Arabidopsis thaliana: one gene and its partners. The protein of the gene in region 2 interacts with the protein of the main gene of each other region in a pairwise test. Each region holds a gene or a part of one and is shown on either strand. Other genes may lie near its edges.

Evidence for each region. Proteins that work in one complex are often made in the same cells at the same time.
Region 1: the proteins of AT1G20110 (region 2) and ATG8E interact in a two-hybrid assay, tested with the Arabidopsis thaliana proteins (one study listed by BioGRID).
Region 3: the proteins of AT1G20110 (region 2) and AT4G18060 interact in a two-hybrid assay, tested with the Arabidopsis thaliana proteins (one study listed by BioGRID).

The regions. Positions count from the first base shown.
Region 1 is NC_003071.7:18,622,405-18,626,327, reverse strand, and holds ATG8E (AUTOPHAGY 8E), read right to left. Parts: upstream 2,065-3,923; 5' UTR 1,950-2,064; exon of another isoform or gene 1,792-1,949; 5' UTR 1,784-1,791; coding exon 1,744-1,783; intron 1,622-1,743; coding exon 1,566-1,621; intron 1,174-1,565; coding exon 1,121-1,173; intron 1,022-1,120; coding exon 802-1,021; 3' UTR 537-801; downstream 1-536. UniProt on the Arabidopsis thaliana protein: Ubiquitin-like modifier involved in autophagosomes formation. May mediate the delivery of the autophagosomes to the vacuole via the microtubule cytoskeleton.
Region 2 is NC_003070.9:6,969,808-6,975,639, forward strand, and holds AT1G20110 (RING/FYVE/PHD zinc finger superfamily protein), read left to right. Parts: upstream 1-1,616; 5' UTR 1,617-1,746; coding exon 1,747-2,751; intron 2,752-2,823; coding exon 2,824-2,910; intron 2,911-3,002; coding exon 3,003-3,134; intron 3,135-3,235; coding exon 3,236-3,367; intron 3,368-3,521; coding exon 3,522-3,587; intron 3,588-3,672; coding exon 3,673-3,783; intron 3,784-3,928; coding exon 3,929-4,021; intron 4,022-4,130; coding exon 4,131-4,164; intron 4,165-4,254; coding exon 4,255-4,322; intron 4,323-4,693; coding exon 4,694-4,771; 3' UTR 4,772-5,323; downstream 5,324-5,832. Other genes in the region: AT1G20100 (DNA ligase-like protein), read right to left, coding at 1-12, 102-372, 812-892; AT1G20120 (GDSL-like Lipase/Acylhydrolase superfamily protein), read left to right, coding at 5,697-5,832. UniProt on the Arabidopsis thaliana protein: Endosomal sorting complex required for transport (ESCRT) component regulating multivesicular body (MVB) protein sorting and plant growth. Required for the formation of intra-luminal vesicles (ILVs)in MVBs.
Region 3 is NC_003075.7:10,026,114-10,031,816, forward strand, and holds AT4G18060 (SH3 domain-containing protein), read right to left. Parts: upstream 3,921-5,703; 5' UTR 3,550-3,920; coding exon 3,490-3,549; intron 3,285-3,489; coding exon 3,162-3,284; intron 3,039-3,161; coding exon 2,969-3,038; intron 2,865-2,968; coding exon 2,710-2,864; intron 2,613-2,709; coding exon 2,511-2,612; intron 2,429-2,510; coding exon 2,231-2,428; intron 2,157-2,230; coding exon 2,094-2,156; intron 2,023-2,093; coding exon 1,933-2,022; intron 1,846-1,932; coding exon 1,771-1,845; intron 1,675-1,770; coding exon 1,555-1,674; 3' UTR 1,168-1,554; downstream 1-1,167. Other genes in the region: ABCB9 (P-glycoprotein 9), read left to right, coding at 1-108, 184-447, 523-1,167; AT4G18070 (suppressor), read left to right, coding at 4,726-4,831, 5,456-5,703. UniProt on the Arabidopsis thaliana protein: May be involved in the recruitment of DRP2A to the accessory protein complex and in the negative regulation of its GTPase activity.

The DNA of each region.
Region 1 (3,923 bases), on a different chromosome or scaffold from region 2:
CATGGTTTATATAGAACAAGTTATTACTAATTACATATACCGAGAGATAAAATAGCATGTGAGCGACTTAAGAAAATTAGAGTAAGAAACAAAACTATCCAGCTAGTTGGCTTTTGCAACTTGAGGTCTTGAAATTGATTAGACTATTTTTTAGGAATTGTTAATTTATTTTTCTATCACAGAAAGGGAAAAGACAAGATTTTTGTCTTGTTTGTTTGTGAAAGAAGAGGCTCCACAAACTTTGAGACAGAGTGTCTCTCTGGGTGGTATGCATCAGTTTGATCATAGTTGTGTAGATCCATTATACGTTGTTGATAAGATATTGTTTTACATTGCATTAGTCCCCATTCCTTTAGATTTTTTTATGAATGATAGATCTTTCAGCATCAACCGATTATATTTCCAAATGCAACTGGACAAGATAATCCCAAAAACAAAATTCAAAGAGTCTACATCTCATCATTACTCGTTTCCAATATTTGGTTTGGTCTAGTTTATCCAAATTTGTAAGATACCTTCTAGAGTGGTCCGTTTAGTATCCAAGAAAGAATTCATGTAGTAGCATCATCAAATGATACCAGTCTAATGAATGAAATCTTTGAGGGAGAAAGAAAGCCACACAAACTTATAATACCAAAGGAAGATAATATTATAAGATTAGTCTATGTACATTTTAACAAGTGAAAAGAAGATAGTAATCACAATTATTTGAGAAATGATAAATATTGAGAACAAACTATACACACAAATTGAAAGTTGGGAAGAAGCATTAAAACGTGGCGGATTCTCAGAGGTCAGAGATTAGATTGAAGAAGCACCGAATGTGTTCTCGCCACTGTAAGTGATGTAAAGGAAGCCATCTTCGTCTTTCTTATCCTCGTAAACGCTTGACATTAGCTCTCCTGTTGGAGGAAGAACATTGTCTACGAAAATGAAGATAGCTTTCTCTGCACTTAGTTTGATTCTCTTCCGAATCACATACACAAATTGACCAACTGTTAGGTCTGATGGCACAAGGTACCTGCATTTATCAAAATCCAGAACAATTCCAAAATTACATACAAGTCTTGAAAACATTGAACAAATAACAAGTTTAACATGATCAACAAAAGGTACTTACTTCTTCTTGTCTATATTTGGGACTTCACTTTTCTCAGCCTTTTCCACAATCACCTGCAACCAAACTACAATGTAAGATAATCTGAATCTTGTAGAAAAAACAAACAGTATTGGATTCTCAAACAACGAAGCTAATGTTCTGTAACCTAAACTAAATTTCACCACGAAGATTCATGATATTGTTTGTGAAACCGAATTCAGCATACATTGATAAATACGCAAACACAGGTACAAAAACATAAGAAAACCTTACAAGAACAGAACAGAACTGATCAAATTAACAAAAACAACACAAAGACAGATGCATCCCAAACTAAACTATTAAATTACATACACAGACTCATGCTACATCATAAATTGAAAGACACGCAAAACAGAGATCTATTACCATAAGAAAACCTTACAAGACCAGAACAAAATCAGATAAAAATCAAAACAAAACTTACAGGAATTCGATCAGGGTATTTCTCCCTGATCCTTCCAGCTTCAGCTTTTCTCTTTTCTGCACATAAACAATCTCTAGAAATCAGATATACATATACAGATATGAACGCTGATACACATGTATGCCTCTATACTGATTCTAGGTCACAAAATCGAAACAGTAAAGAATAAAAGACTAACCGAAATCGTTGTCCATCTTAAAGATGCTTCCTTTATTCATCTTTGCTTCTGAGAATATACACAATCAAAGAAATTGAGACACAAAACCCTAATTTTGTTTTCAACACCCAAATCGAAATTCCGCGTCTTTTCGGGGAAAAAAATGAATTCTAAATCTAGAGAAATCAAAACAGAGTATGTAACAGAGAAATCAACAGAAAACTTACAGAGAGAGAATTTGATGGAACGGATAAGGATAAAACTCTGGAAGAAGAAGAAGAAGATGATCTACGGATACAAAGTCAAAAAAAGGAACCTTTTTCTTTTCGTCTATGATTGGATAACGTTAACTCTATATACACTTGTTTATATATGTCTGTTAGCTGACGTGTTGAGTTATTAGACACGTCAGCTTAGCTTGTTCTCCAAACAAACAAAGTCATTCCATTATTGTTCAAACAAATTTTTCTTTCTTTTTGTTTTAAGAATTTTTGTTAGGTCAATGTCAATTCTTTTAATTAATTAATACTACTATTACGTAATAAAATACCAAATTTTGTTTAATTTATTGTTAGTTTTTCCTCATACTTTTCCTTTTAGTGTAGAACACGTCTTTGATTTGCCTTTCCCTCACTTTTTCTTACATTGAATTTTTTTCCTTTCGATGTGTTTTTTTCCTCCAGTTTATATTGTTAACGAAACATGTAATGCGAAATTCCCATTCGTAGTTCTCACGTGGCGGTGTATTGTTATATATATATATATATATAACAGTGTCGGTGTTTAACTTTATTCATTCATTATTTGGATAAAATTGAATAATTAGAAATAGAAAGACTAAAAAATGAATAATAAGGGTTGCTGAACTTTAATGGGCTAGAACCGACAAAAAAAGAAGAACTTTAATGGGCCAGAATAAGTAGTAAGTGGGTCTGTGAATCGTAAGTTTATGATAGATACGAGGTTTGATGAGACATGAGATAAAGGCCCAATACATATGTATGACATATTCCAAATATTTGTATTGCGTATCGATGTAATTGATACAAAATCGTTGTGTTTGTGCTTTCTGGTGACTCGCTCCTCTGTACGATAACACAAAGATATTCGAAAAACATAATTTTCGTTGTCTTACAAAACAGAATTGGTCATATGGAGTTATTCAATTCACCAAACTCTATGAAAATTTGTCAGTTCAATCATTTTGGCTCTACCAACAAATTTTTTGTTAAGAGGTCCCTCATCAAAGCTAATAGCTTTCTGTTTGACCATGTCTTCCCTGGTACAATCATGTTTAAACCTATCAATTTTCAAAAACGTGTAGAGTAATTTGTATGAATATATCATATATGCCTCACAATATTTCATAATCTCCGAAAATCTTTAGTAATAGAGATGTTAAGGAACATAACAAAATAAAGAAAGGTAGTATATAATTGGAGCACTTCATCATTACCAAATGATTAATGGAGAATGTATGTAATAGTGCATCGTATAGTTTTATATTTCAACTATCCCTAGATTTTAGCAATAATAGTTAAGATTTAATAATGTACTAATCGATGATTATCTTGTGGTGTAGTTGTGTTGGTCGTTGTCTTAACAAAAGAGACCATATATTATAACCATGTAGTAGCATTATTGTATTTCTGTATTTGTTACTTTCTGCCATAAGCATATAAATCCAAACATAACATCGATACAACTAGGCTAGGTATGCCATGCCATGTTCATCTTAATTGAGATTTCATAATTTCATTACGAAATTTCTACATCTAGAGCTCCATTACCGATATACTTTTCCTATATATGTTTTTAAGTGATCGATAATAGTAACTCTGCGCAAATGCCACTAATAAGGTCCGAACCCTGTGTATGAGACGTAATAAGAAGTTTATTTTTTCTTTTTTGTGCAAACGTTTAATAAGTTAAGACTTCATATAAATAAAATAATATTGGCGGAAAAAATATAAATTATATAAAAAACAAAACAAAATTCATATTGCATACTATATAATATACAATTGAATATCTCTACACAAGTGGCACGTTAGTGGTGTCCCTTCTTTAGCTAGTCATCACCTCTAAGATTGAATAAGCAAGTTGGTAATTTGTATTCTAAAAATAACAAAAAGGGGCGAAAACTAATTTAATGCGATACACATTTTGTTTTAGGACAGAGACACAATAGTGGTGGAAAC
Region 2 (5,832 bases):
CTACAGGTGTAGCTGCAAATGATTAAACGTCTCTGTTTCAGTATATGTATTCAAACACAATAAAGATATTCATCTAATCCGGGAAGAAACAAAGCACAAACCTTTGATTTGACTCTCAACAACAGCAGGAGAAGTTTCCCTTCTTCTCTTCTTACTGTTCTGGCTACCATCAGACAAATATCCAACCTGAGGTTGCTCAAATTCTTCTGTTAAACAAGATTTCTCAAGCTGTTCGGATTCATATGAGACTGTCTTGGTTGTGGAATACTTCTGTTCAAGGGATTTCTTCTCTTTCTTTAATTTCTTTTCTTTCTTTTTCTCCTTCTTCTCTTTCCGATGCAGCTTTTTAGAATCAACTATTGGTCTTTCGATCTTTATAATCCAATCAGAATAAAGGATTTAGACTAGAGGAAGGATTTATCAGGCAAACAACCAGATACCCATATACGTGGGTAACATCATTCAACCACAAACACACATAATGTTAATTACTCAAAACATATATCTACAACGCGTCTTTATGGTTGACTTTATAATTGGAGACCAAACCAAACTAACATACATGTCTACACGACATCGTTAAGAACGAAATTCATTATGCTAAAACATGTATAGTGTAGATTCAATTCATAGATCTATGCTGAAGATATTTTCCTACAATTTAACCAATCAATAACTTATATGCAACCTAGAGATCTGGCTACAAAGAGGATATTATAAGGAAATTTAACTCTGACCGAACACAGAAACCCATGTTCAGACAAGAGGACACCGTAGCGAATCAATCACAAGAATTGAGTGCTCGACGAACCTTAGTCCATTCGACCAAGTTTTGACCGTTCGCCCAGTTCCTCGCATACACAGGCGGTGGGGATGTGAAATATCGTGACATCGTTTTTTCTTCTTCTCTTTCTTTCTTTCTCAGATCGAATCGACTAACGGACAAGACAACGGACAGTAATTCGGACAGAACTAAATCGAACCTAGGTTTCAGATTCGCGCCTAATGAAACTTCTTCTTTGTGGCGCGAAATCAAAACGAAATCGATAACGAGAGACGGAAGAGAGAAGAACCCTAATTTTTTTTTTCGATTCGATTTTGTTAATCGATGAGAGAGAGAGAAAGAAGAAAAAAACCAATTGCGGTTGAGAAAATAATGGTGAAGGGTAAGGTTCTATTTAAAGACGCGTGAAACACTCAGATCCGCCGACTCGGGCTATACTTACGTTTTTGGAAAGAATAATGTGAAAACCCTAATTTGTAAGGGCTATTCCGTCAATTAGTCGTTATCATCTCCGTGAAGCTCGGTCCGAGTTTGCTACGTCATCTGAAATACCCTTTTTATCCTTTGCGTCTTTCTTACTCCAAACTTTATTATTGGGCTTAACAAAAACTACAAAAGCCCAAAACCCAATGTTAATACGAGGAGAATAATTAATTTTAATTGACTTTGTGATTAATGGGTCTCTTGTCCGACTTGGTTCCTTACGCTTGCATAGAAAAACAGCTACAATTATCTGTGGGCATCACGCGTTAAAAAACCATCTCTTACTTCTAATCAACGGTTCATTATACCGCCACGTGTATTATTATTAAATATACAAAAAAGTTCGCGGCACAGACAATCCTTCCCTCACCAAATATTCCCTTGACTCTCTCGATCTATCTTTCATCTTCATCTTCGTCATCGTTTCCAATTTCCGATATAATCTGATCAAATCATCGCCGACGATCACCGATTCAGCGATGCAACAGGGAGATTACAATTCGTACTATCACCACCAATACTCTCAATTTCAAAATCCTACTCCGAATCCTAATCCTAATCCCAATCCTTCTCCGCCGGCGCCGGCAACCGTAGCTGGTCCGACCGATCTTACTCGAAACACGTACGCATCAGCGCCACCGTTCACCGGCGGTTACGGTTCCGCCGATTACTCTAACTATTCACAGAATTACACTCCTTACGGGCAAAACTCTGAGCATGTCCCTCCTTCAGCTCCTTCCTTCACTTCACCATCACAACCTCCTCCTTCTCCGCCGGCGACATCACTAAACCCTAATTCTTATTCAACCTTCAACCAACCACCACCTCCACCCACGATTCATCCACAACCTCTATCCTCTTATGGATCATTTGATTCTACTGCTCCGTATCAGCAACCTACCTCGCAACATATGTATTACTCACCGTATGATCAGCATCAAACCTCTGGCTATTCATCTGCGCCTCCTCCTTCATCTGCGCCTGCGCCGAATCCTAATCCCGCGCCTTATTCATCATCCTTGTACTCTGCACCTCCTTATAGTAGCGGAGGATCATCCATACCTCCTTCGTATGAGAAACCGTCAGTGAAATTTGATCAATCTGGTTATGACGGTTATAACCGGAGCAGATCGGATTTAGGATCTGATCTATACGGAAAACGATCTGATAGCGGAGAATATCCTGCTTTTGAAGATTCCTATGGCGATGGCGTTTATGCTTATCAAGGAGGCAAAGTTGAGCCATACGGTTCTCGTGGAACTGCGCCGAAATCATCGAATTCAACATTGTTCGATGATTATGGACGATCCATTAGCTTTTCTTCTTCAGGGAGAGATTCTTCTGTTAGCTCGAATTCTGCTAAGATCGTGAGAGCTGTTCCTAAGGCTGATGTGCAGGAAGATTCCACTGGTGGTGTGCAGAAATTTCGTGTCAAATTGTTGGCTGAGACTTATGGACAAACCACAACAGATGTTCTTTGTCAGGTAATGTCCCCAATTCAATTTGAACTTTGTGTTACCTAAACTAGTTTTAGTGAATTGGTTTTGTGCTAGCAGATTGGTTTGGATGGTCTTCGTATGCTTGATCCAAGTACTAGCCGAACTTTGAGAATATATCCTCTTGAGAACATCACAAGATGCGAAGTAAGAGATTATCTACCTTCTTCTTATGACTGAATTTGTTCCATTTTTGTGACTGGAGGTCTTATCTATTGTTGTAAATGTCTTTCTATCAGAAACTAGATTCGTCTATTCTGGCTTTCTGGTCTAAGACTCCGGTAGACATTGAAGCTAAACGTATCAGATTGCAATCAAATAGTTACACCACCAACACCCTTCTGGACACTGTGACGGCTGCAATGTTTCAGGTTCATAAAATTTACAAATTTTGTTTCATTAAAAGTCTATATGTCAATTCCATCATGATTTCTTTTGACTAATCCAATGTTCTTATGTTGGTGGGTTTTAGGCCAAGGAGATCGGGGGAAGTAGCAGGCCTCCCACCTCTGGAAAACTGATTGAACAAACTGCTGAGAAGAAAAAAGGATTGGGTGATTGGATGAACATTATAAAGCCTGTTAATGAGGAGAAAGATCATTGGGTAGGTTTTTTTTTTTTTGGAAGAAAAACACATTTCTCTTGTAGTCAAAGTAAAAGGGCTAGGGTAGTTTTGGTGATTAGTTACATCACTTGATTCTTATTTTCTTGCTTAGCTGTGGTATGTTGTTCTCATTCCATGTTATTTTTGGCTTTAGGTACCTGATGAAGCTGTTTCTAAGTGCACATCATGTGGTTCAGATTTCGGTGCATTTATACGAAGGGTATTATTTTCCCCGATCTAACAATCTGAATTAAATTTTTGGCCATGTTGGGACTATCAAACCTTATGGATTTTTTATTTTCTAGCACCACTGCAGGAATTGTGGTGACGTCTTCTGTGACAAGTGTACTCAAGGCAGGATTGCTCTCACTGCTGAGGATAATGCTCCTCAAGTCCGTGTTTGTGACCGGTGCATGGTATGCTTATCTGTCTGTTTATTTTTCCTTAAGTTGAGAAATCATGTTCCGTTGATTCCTGAGAATGTAGCTTTAAGTTAATTTGAACTGGTATCTTGTCTTTTATGCGTATGCCTCTAAGTTCAATCTGTTTCTGGATGTGCAGGCAGAAGTGTCACAAAGGTTGAGTAATGCCAAGGAAACCACTGGCAGGAATGTGAGCCTGCAGAGCCATGAAGACCTTGCTAGAAAGTTACAGGTGAGCTAATCGTCCTTGGTTCTTTATTAAGTTTAATGATTTACAAGTTGAGTTAATATCTTGGGCAAAGTATATAATTGTTTTCTGATGGCGGATATGTTTGATACAGGAGGAAATGGAGAGAAACCGCAAGTCTTCGTCTGGTAATTTTTCATATCTAATATACTTATGTTTATGATATATTGTTTCTGGTATTTTATGGTTGCTGACAATGATAGCTATGATTCTAACAGGTTTGAGGGAAGGATCTGGGAGGCGGATGAAAGAAGTAGCTTGTCCAACATGCACTGTGCACTTACAGGTTAGATCCTTTGATAGCATGTCTTTCGTTGTATGATTTTGGGACCCAATTTTTTCTAGAATAAGGAAAACAGGGAGGTCCTCATAATCACTTGTGTCAGTGTGTATGATCATCTTGCAAACTACATTGACGAAATAGAATAGCTAGAGAAATGTTTATGTCTTACGTGAGACCTCTAGTATTAAACAGTTACATATGGTCGATGTGATTTTCTATTAAGATTGGATCATGGAGATTGTCGCTTAATCATCTGAATAAATAGTTAAAGCAAGTTGATAGATAACTCGAGGCAGATTGGAATTTGAAGTTGGCTTGTTTGTAGTGTCTCTTGATAGTATGCGTTTATGAGAGCATTGCCATTTAAATTGCAGGTCCAGGTTCCAGTCTCAGGATCAGAGACCATTGAGTGCGGAGTTTGCCAAAACCCTTTCCTCGTTAGCGCACATTGATCTTCCTACCCGCTTTTTTGCTTGACATATATATCAATTATAAGTATGAGATTTGGTTCATTTGGTTATTGAATTGGGTTTGATCACATCAAAATAAGTTCTTGTCCTGTCTCATGTGGATGGTGTTTCCCCTTTGTGTGTATATGAAAGTCTTTTGAGTGATGAACATCTTATACTTTTCATGTAGTCTGTTGTCCTACTGATGTCTGATTGGTTAATTTACTGTATCAGTCCTCCAATGTCATTACTCCTGCTTCAATTTCTCTGACCACTCACATGTAGTCCAATCGGTTCGTTGTTCATTATGTATTTTACTACCATTAGGTCCAAACACTTGAAACGTTATGTTATACTGCGCCTGGAACCGAAACAGAGCGGTTTCAAGTTGACCTGGTCTTCTTCCATGGTAATTGCAAATCCTCTGATTCGAATCAATGAATGCTACAATGGTGTAAAATACTGTGCTACAATGGTGTACCAAATTTTTAAGCTTTCCTTTCATATTCAATTGATTCAATTAGGTTAAGTATCATAAAACGCTTTAATATTCTTGTCCACACTTGTTCTTTCTCGAGGGTCGAGGCTGTGTTTATTCGAGTTGTTTTTGGAAAATCATCTCGTATTTTTTTTCTTTTGAGAGAATAGTGTAGAAACTGTGGTCTTATAGTTTTAGAGGGTAATACGAAAATGAGAGTGCGATTAGTAATGGATAACTGAATTTAAGAAAAGTTCAAAGTGTGTGAATGAGAAGGAGTCGTAAGAGACAAGCATCTTCTTCTTATAACCATCTAAACCACATGCTTATGTCCACTTTTTTTCTTTCTTTCTGAGTGAAAAACACTTTAGTCTCCCACTCTTTATATTTTGTAGCTTCACAGCAAAAATTCTCTTTTACTTATCAGACAGATAAGATCATATAGCAAATATGTTGCAAGATAGAGTTTCTGGTTCTTTGTCTAGTTCGAAAATATCTCGATGTGTTTTGTTTCTCTCACTCTTTTGTTTCTTCCTCTTGACGATGCATGCTTCAGCAAACCGCTTACAGCGAGTTCCAAATCCAG
Region 3 (5,703 bases), on a different chromosome or scaffold from region 2:
GGTTTCGGTTTCTCATTCTTTTTCCTCTATTGCATCAATTGTGTATGTTTCGTCAGTGGTGCCGGGTTGATTCAAATTGGTAAAGCCACATTTGGTGAAGTCTTCAAGGTAAGATGAGAAACATTTCTCGGTTTAATTAAGATCTGGTTCGGTTTAGTGATCTTGAGAGTGTATTTTTTACAGGTTTTCTTTGCATTGACGATTATGGCGATTGGAGTTTCTCAAACGAGTGCTATGGCACCTGATTCAAACAAAGCTAAAGACTCTGCAGCTTCGATTTTCGATATTCTCGATAGTACACCGAAGATTGATTCTAGCTCTGATGAAGGTACAACGTTACAAAACGTTAATGGTGATATCGAATTCCGACATGTTAGTTTCCGATACCCAATGCGACCGGACGTTCAGATTTTCAGAGATTTGTGCTTGACTATCCCTTCTGGAAAGGTAAAAAACAGAGCTTTTTAATTACCGGTTAAATCTGGTTCACCGGTTAATATTGGTTATTGGTTGTTTTTTCAGACCGTTGCACTTGTTGGAGAGAGCGGGAGCGGGAAATCAACGGTGATAAGCATGATTGAGAGGTTTTATAATCCAGATTCAGGCAAGATTTTGATCGATCAGGTGGAGATTCAGACATTTAAATTGAGTTGGTTAAGGCAACAGATGGGTTTGGTTAGTCAAGAACCGATTTTGTTCAACGAGACGATCAGATCAAACATAGCTTATGGTAAAACCGGTGGAGCCACAGAGGAAGAGATTATAGCAGCAGCAAAAGCCGCAAACGCACATAACTTCATCAGCTCATTGCCTCAGGGTTACGATACGTCGGTTGGAGAACGCGGTGTTCAGCTATCGGGCGGTCAGAAACAGAGGATTGCGATTGCGCGCGCGATTTTGAAAGATCCTAAGATTTTGTTGCTTGATGAAGCGACGAGTGCATTGGACGCAGAATCTGAGCGTGTTGTTCAGGATGCACTTGATCGAGTTATGGTTAATCGAACCACTGTAGTTGTGGCTCATCGGCTTACGACGATTAAGAACGCAGACGTGATCGCGGTTGTGAAAAACGGAGTTATTGCTGAGAAAGGAAGGCATGAGACACTGATGAAGATTTCAGGTGGTGCTTATGCTTCTCTTGTCACTCTGCACATGAGTGCAAATTAAGAGACTTTTTGTTTTTGGTTGGAATGAAAGAGAGAATTTTTGGAATTGATTCGTTAATTTTGTCCATTGGAACTCATAAATTTGAGACAAACAGATCCTTTTACTTCGAGCTTTAAAAGCCTCGTACCACACTAATTGAATTCTTTGGGTTTGCTTTCTAACAAAGTGCGTTCCAAATGTTAGAAACGTTTCATTTGTTCCTTTTCTTGTTATCTTCATTAAGAACACTCTTCAATAAGAAGAATCAATAAAACATTTTTTGGAGGTAAACTCTATTTTGGATCAACAAATATGAACAAGAGTAGTAGTTTGTTGGGGACAGGACATAACTGAAACAAAGTTTTCAGACACAAATGTAAGAAAAAATGAAATCTTTGAAGAAGAGACTCAGTAAACTTCAGCAGCAAAGTTGGTAGTGGGAAGTCTCTGTCGCTTCTCAATGTAAGCCATAGGAAACCAACCAGCTTTGCCTTTGCATTCTCCTTCAGCCCAACCGGTTTGGCTCACCTGAGAATACGAAAGAAAAACAGCACACAGAGAGTTAAGTTTCATGCTCTCTCACTACAGAAGTTAGTTCTTTGATACTAGTAAGAAGATGTGAACCTTTCGGACAACGATGTAATCTCCTTTGTCCAAGTCTAACTCTTTCTCTGAAGCAGCGGAAAATGGATGAATCACCTGCGAGAGAACATATATGTTGCTTATGGAGAGTCTTTTTCTTTCTGTGAGATATGCGATGATAATATTACGGAAGATAAAACTTACTTCAGCAAGAAAGTATGACGTTTTCTCTGAGCCGTTCTCTGTTGGAATCGCAGGAGGAGCAGATTCTTTGTGTTGTTTCTCGGTTACCATCTACGCGGTAAGACCAAAAGTGTGAGCCTTTGATGAGAAAAAGATGTGGGAAAGATTCATCCAATACTAACCTCGGCTTCAATGTCACTGAGGATGGCTGCTATTCTTAAGTGATAATTCTTCTCCCCTTCAACCTAGAATAAGCGATAAGGTAAATAGTAATCTGCATATGACAAAAAAATCCAGTGTGTGTGTATGTAAAACATACCATAGCCACAAGCCTCTGGAAAGTGAGTCTATGTTGCTGTGATTCAACAGCGGCTAATGCAGCAGTTGCTTCTTTACCAAGGACTGCCATATTTGCTTTTAGCTCTTGCATTTTTGCTTCCGCTAGTTGAAGCTTTGCTACGTTTTCTGGAATCGGAGCTTCTCTTACACGTGCTTGCCGTCTAGAGACTTCCGTTGCCTGTTTTGCTTTTAAGTTTTAACTTACATTACAAAATAAAATAGCCAACATCATCATAGAACTAAGATCTTAAGATGATTACATGTGTCTCTGCTTCTTGTCTCATGCGGCTGTAACGTTGAGCAAGATGACGAGCATCTTCAAGAGGAGAACCGGCAACCATAGCTCTTAGAGGATCCAAAACCTTAACGGCATTTAACAAAAAGGTTTTCTCTTGTTATCTACTAGATTTAATTCTACGTAAACATACTAAGATTAAACACAGATAATCCAAGCCGAACCTGAGAAGCCAAAAGCTTGTTGAAGTCTTCTTGTTCTTTGTCTACATGTTTCCGTGCATCACCGTATATAGCTGCAGCCTTGGCCAGTATATTCTCATCAATGTTCTGACTATTTTCGTTCCCATACCTACAACAGTCTTCAGACAACTTGGTTCCTGAAATTTTAAAGAATATTAAAAGAAAACTCACAAAAGTATCATAGTATAACTTAATTCAATGATAGGTAACACAAAACAGACACTCATAAGTAGTTAAGTACCTGCTTCAATGTGTCTGAGCCCGATCGTGGTAAATGCCTCAGCTGCTTTAACAATATCTCTCTGGAACTCCTGAAAGTGACAATAACATATGTTTGAGGGTATTGTGCTACGATGAATCATACTGAAACCTTCTCCCCCAACAATGAACTCATATAAAATGTGACAATGCCATTAGGTCAATATCAGTCAAACCTTTGCAGAACGAGTAGAGCGGTAAAGTTTATCGAGTTGATGATGCCTTTGCATTTCAAGCTCATCAATCACCATTACATCTGAGCTTTCATAACCAGTCCCACTGAATTGCTTTATCACAGCCTACATTCCCCATTACCACACATCAATCAACACATCATCACAACCAAGATTGTGTAACTCTATAATACTCAATAATATACAAATCAAAACCCATCAAAAAGTTTCCATTTTTTTTAATCCAAATTAGCAACAAAGAACCTAAATTGAGCTTCGTTTCGCTGAATCGGTAACAGTGAAACTAGTTGCGGCGATGAAAAGGAATTACCAGTTGCTGCTTTGCGACTTGGTCTCTAAGCTTACTCGCTTGTCTTCTAAACGCATCCATTGTCACTTCTCCTCTTGATTTCCCCAAATTGATTCAGAGATACCAAAAAGAGACAAGCTTTAAAGGATTTTGAGTGGAATTGAGAAATCTCAATTAGATCAGAACAGTTTAAAAACTGACAAAGCAGATCAGATCTGATTCAGTAGAAATGTATGTTCTTCTTCGACTCGATGTGTCACTGATTATCCCTCTGAGAAAATCAGTCAATCACAGAGCACACACATCGATCTAAGCGGGTCGGGTCGATTCGATTGATTGAACCAAACCGGTCCGGTCCGGTCTGATTAAAAGGAGCGTTCGCGATTGAATTATTTGGAAGCAGACGAGGCTTTTCTACTAAAAACCTTACGTTACGACTTACGATTATTATTGAGTAATTAATTAAAATTAGCTAAATCCGTTTGGCATAAACTGAGATTAAGTTAATTAAAACTTAAAAGTATAGGTATTAACAAAAAAACTGACATGGACAACTCATAACCACTTGTTATTTGTCCCCACTCCTCCCATATCATTTTGTCCTAACTGCCATTACATAATTATAATCTGAAAAGACAACCTATATACTTTTTCTTTTATTTTATTATTAACGTTGCCTTTCTCAGTATAGTATAGATTCCTACTCTACCGACTTAAAATTTCAGTGAGATATTTCATTAAATTCCATGTTCTTAAAACAGGGTTCTATTGTTGATGTAAACTTAAATCAAATTATAGTCAACCAAAAGACAAATGTATATTGGTATCTAAAGTACTGAATGACAACATTTTTTTGTTTTAATTTATCTATAACACAATCAAGTTGTAAAGATGATTTTGTTTGAACAAACTTTACAAAAATAATCTCTATCCATTATACTATTTCGTTAATAGCTAAATTAGTAAACCAAACGCGGAAAATAAACGAAACAAACGCGGAAACAAAATTACAAGAAGATCAATTAGTGATTTTACAGTTAAAAAAAAGCAATAAAACTCAGAAACCCTTTCACATGTATGTATAAGAAGAATCTAAAACTTTCCCACTTCCACCAATTTGAGTTTTGAAACATTTACGGCTCGACAGAAAAGAAGACGCCATTATATTTTAACAGAGAGAAATCAAAGAGACAAAAGCCACGATCCGCCATAGCTGTTTTTGAGATCGATCCCCACCAAAGGAGCCTAGCCTAAATCATGCCTTCAGGTGCTAAGAAAAGGAAAGCTGCCAAGAAAAAGCAAGAGGAAGAACAACAACAACAAGGATCTTCTACTCTAATCAACCTCAAATCCAACAACCATGGTTTTTAATTCTTTTAACACCCCATAATCTCACTACTACTTTCTTCTTTTTGCCTTTTTCTTCTTGTTGTTGTCTCTCTGTATCTCTCAATTATTCACTCACACCACACACGTTTAGGCCACCTTTCTTGTTTGTTTATATATTTGCTTCGCTTTAAATCTGAGTTTTTTTTTAACTTTGTTCTCTGTATAGTTTCTTCAAGTTTTGATTTTTATGGTTTTGTGCTCATTGATCTAAACAAATGGGTATCTTTTTTACTCTTCTTTGTGTTTTGATTGGGGTTTTAGGCTCACAATTTTGGGATCTCAAGCTGTAAAAATTTGATCTTTCGGTTAATTTTAGCATGTTCTGCTTCGTAATCCATATGGGTTGAATCTAGTTTTCTGTTTTGGACTAAAGGATAGTTTTGTTTATCAGATTCATGATTATGATTGAAGTTGTTTATCATTTGCTGAGTTTTGTTTATCTCTGATGCTTTGGTTTCATTAGTAGTAGCTGTGCCTATTTTGTTTACTAGTATATGTTTCATTCTCTGGATGGTACAATAGTTAGATTTGACTTGAATAGTCAGTGTTAAGTCACTCTGTTTGTGATATTGATTGGATTTGTAAACTGATGTGCTAGATTCGAGAAGCCAAGGTGACAAGGAGAGCGATGATGGTGTTAATGAACGCATAGAGATCACTGATTCAAGCCATGATCATGACAAGAGCTCTAGTAGCAGCAGTAGTAGTAGCAGCAGCAGCAGCAGCTCCAGCTCGGATGATGAGTCACGGGAAGTCAAGAAGATAGATGATGATAAGAAGACTGGTGATGATGTTTCTGAAGTTATTACTGTGAGTTCTGTGCCAATTCAACCTGTGCCTATTGCT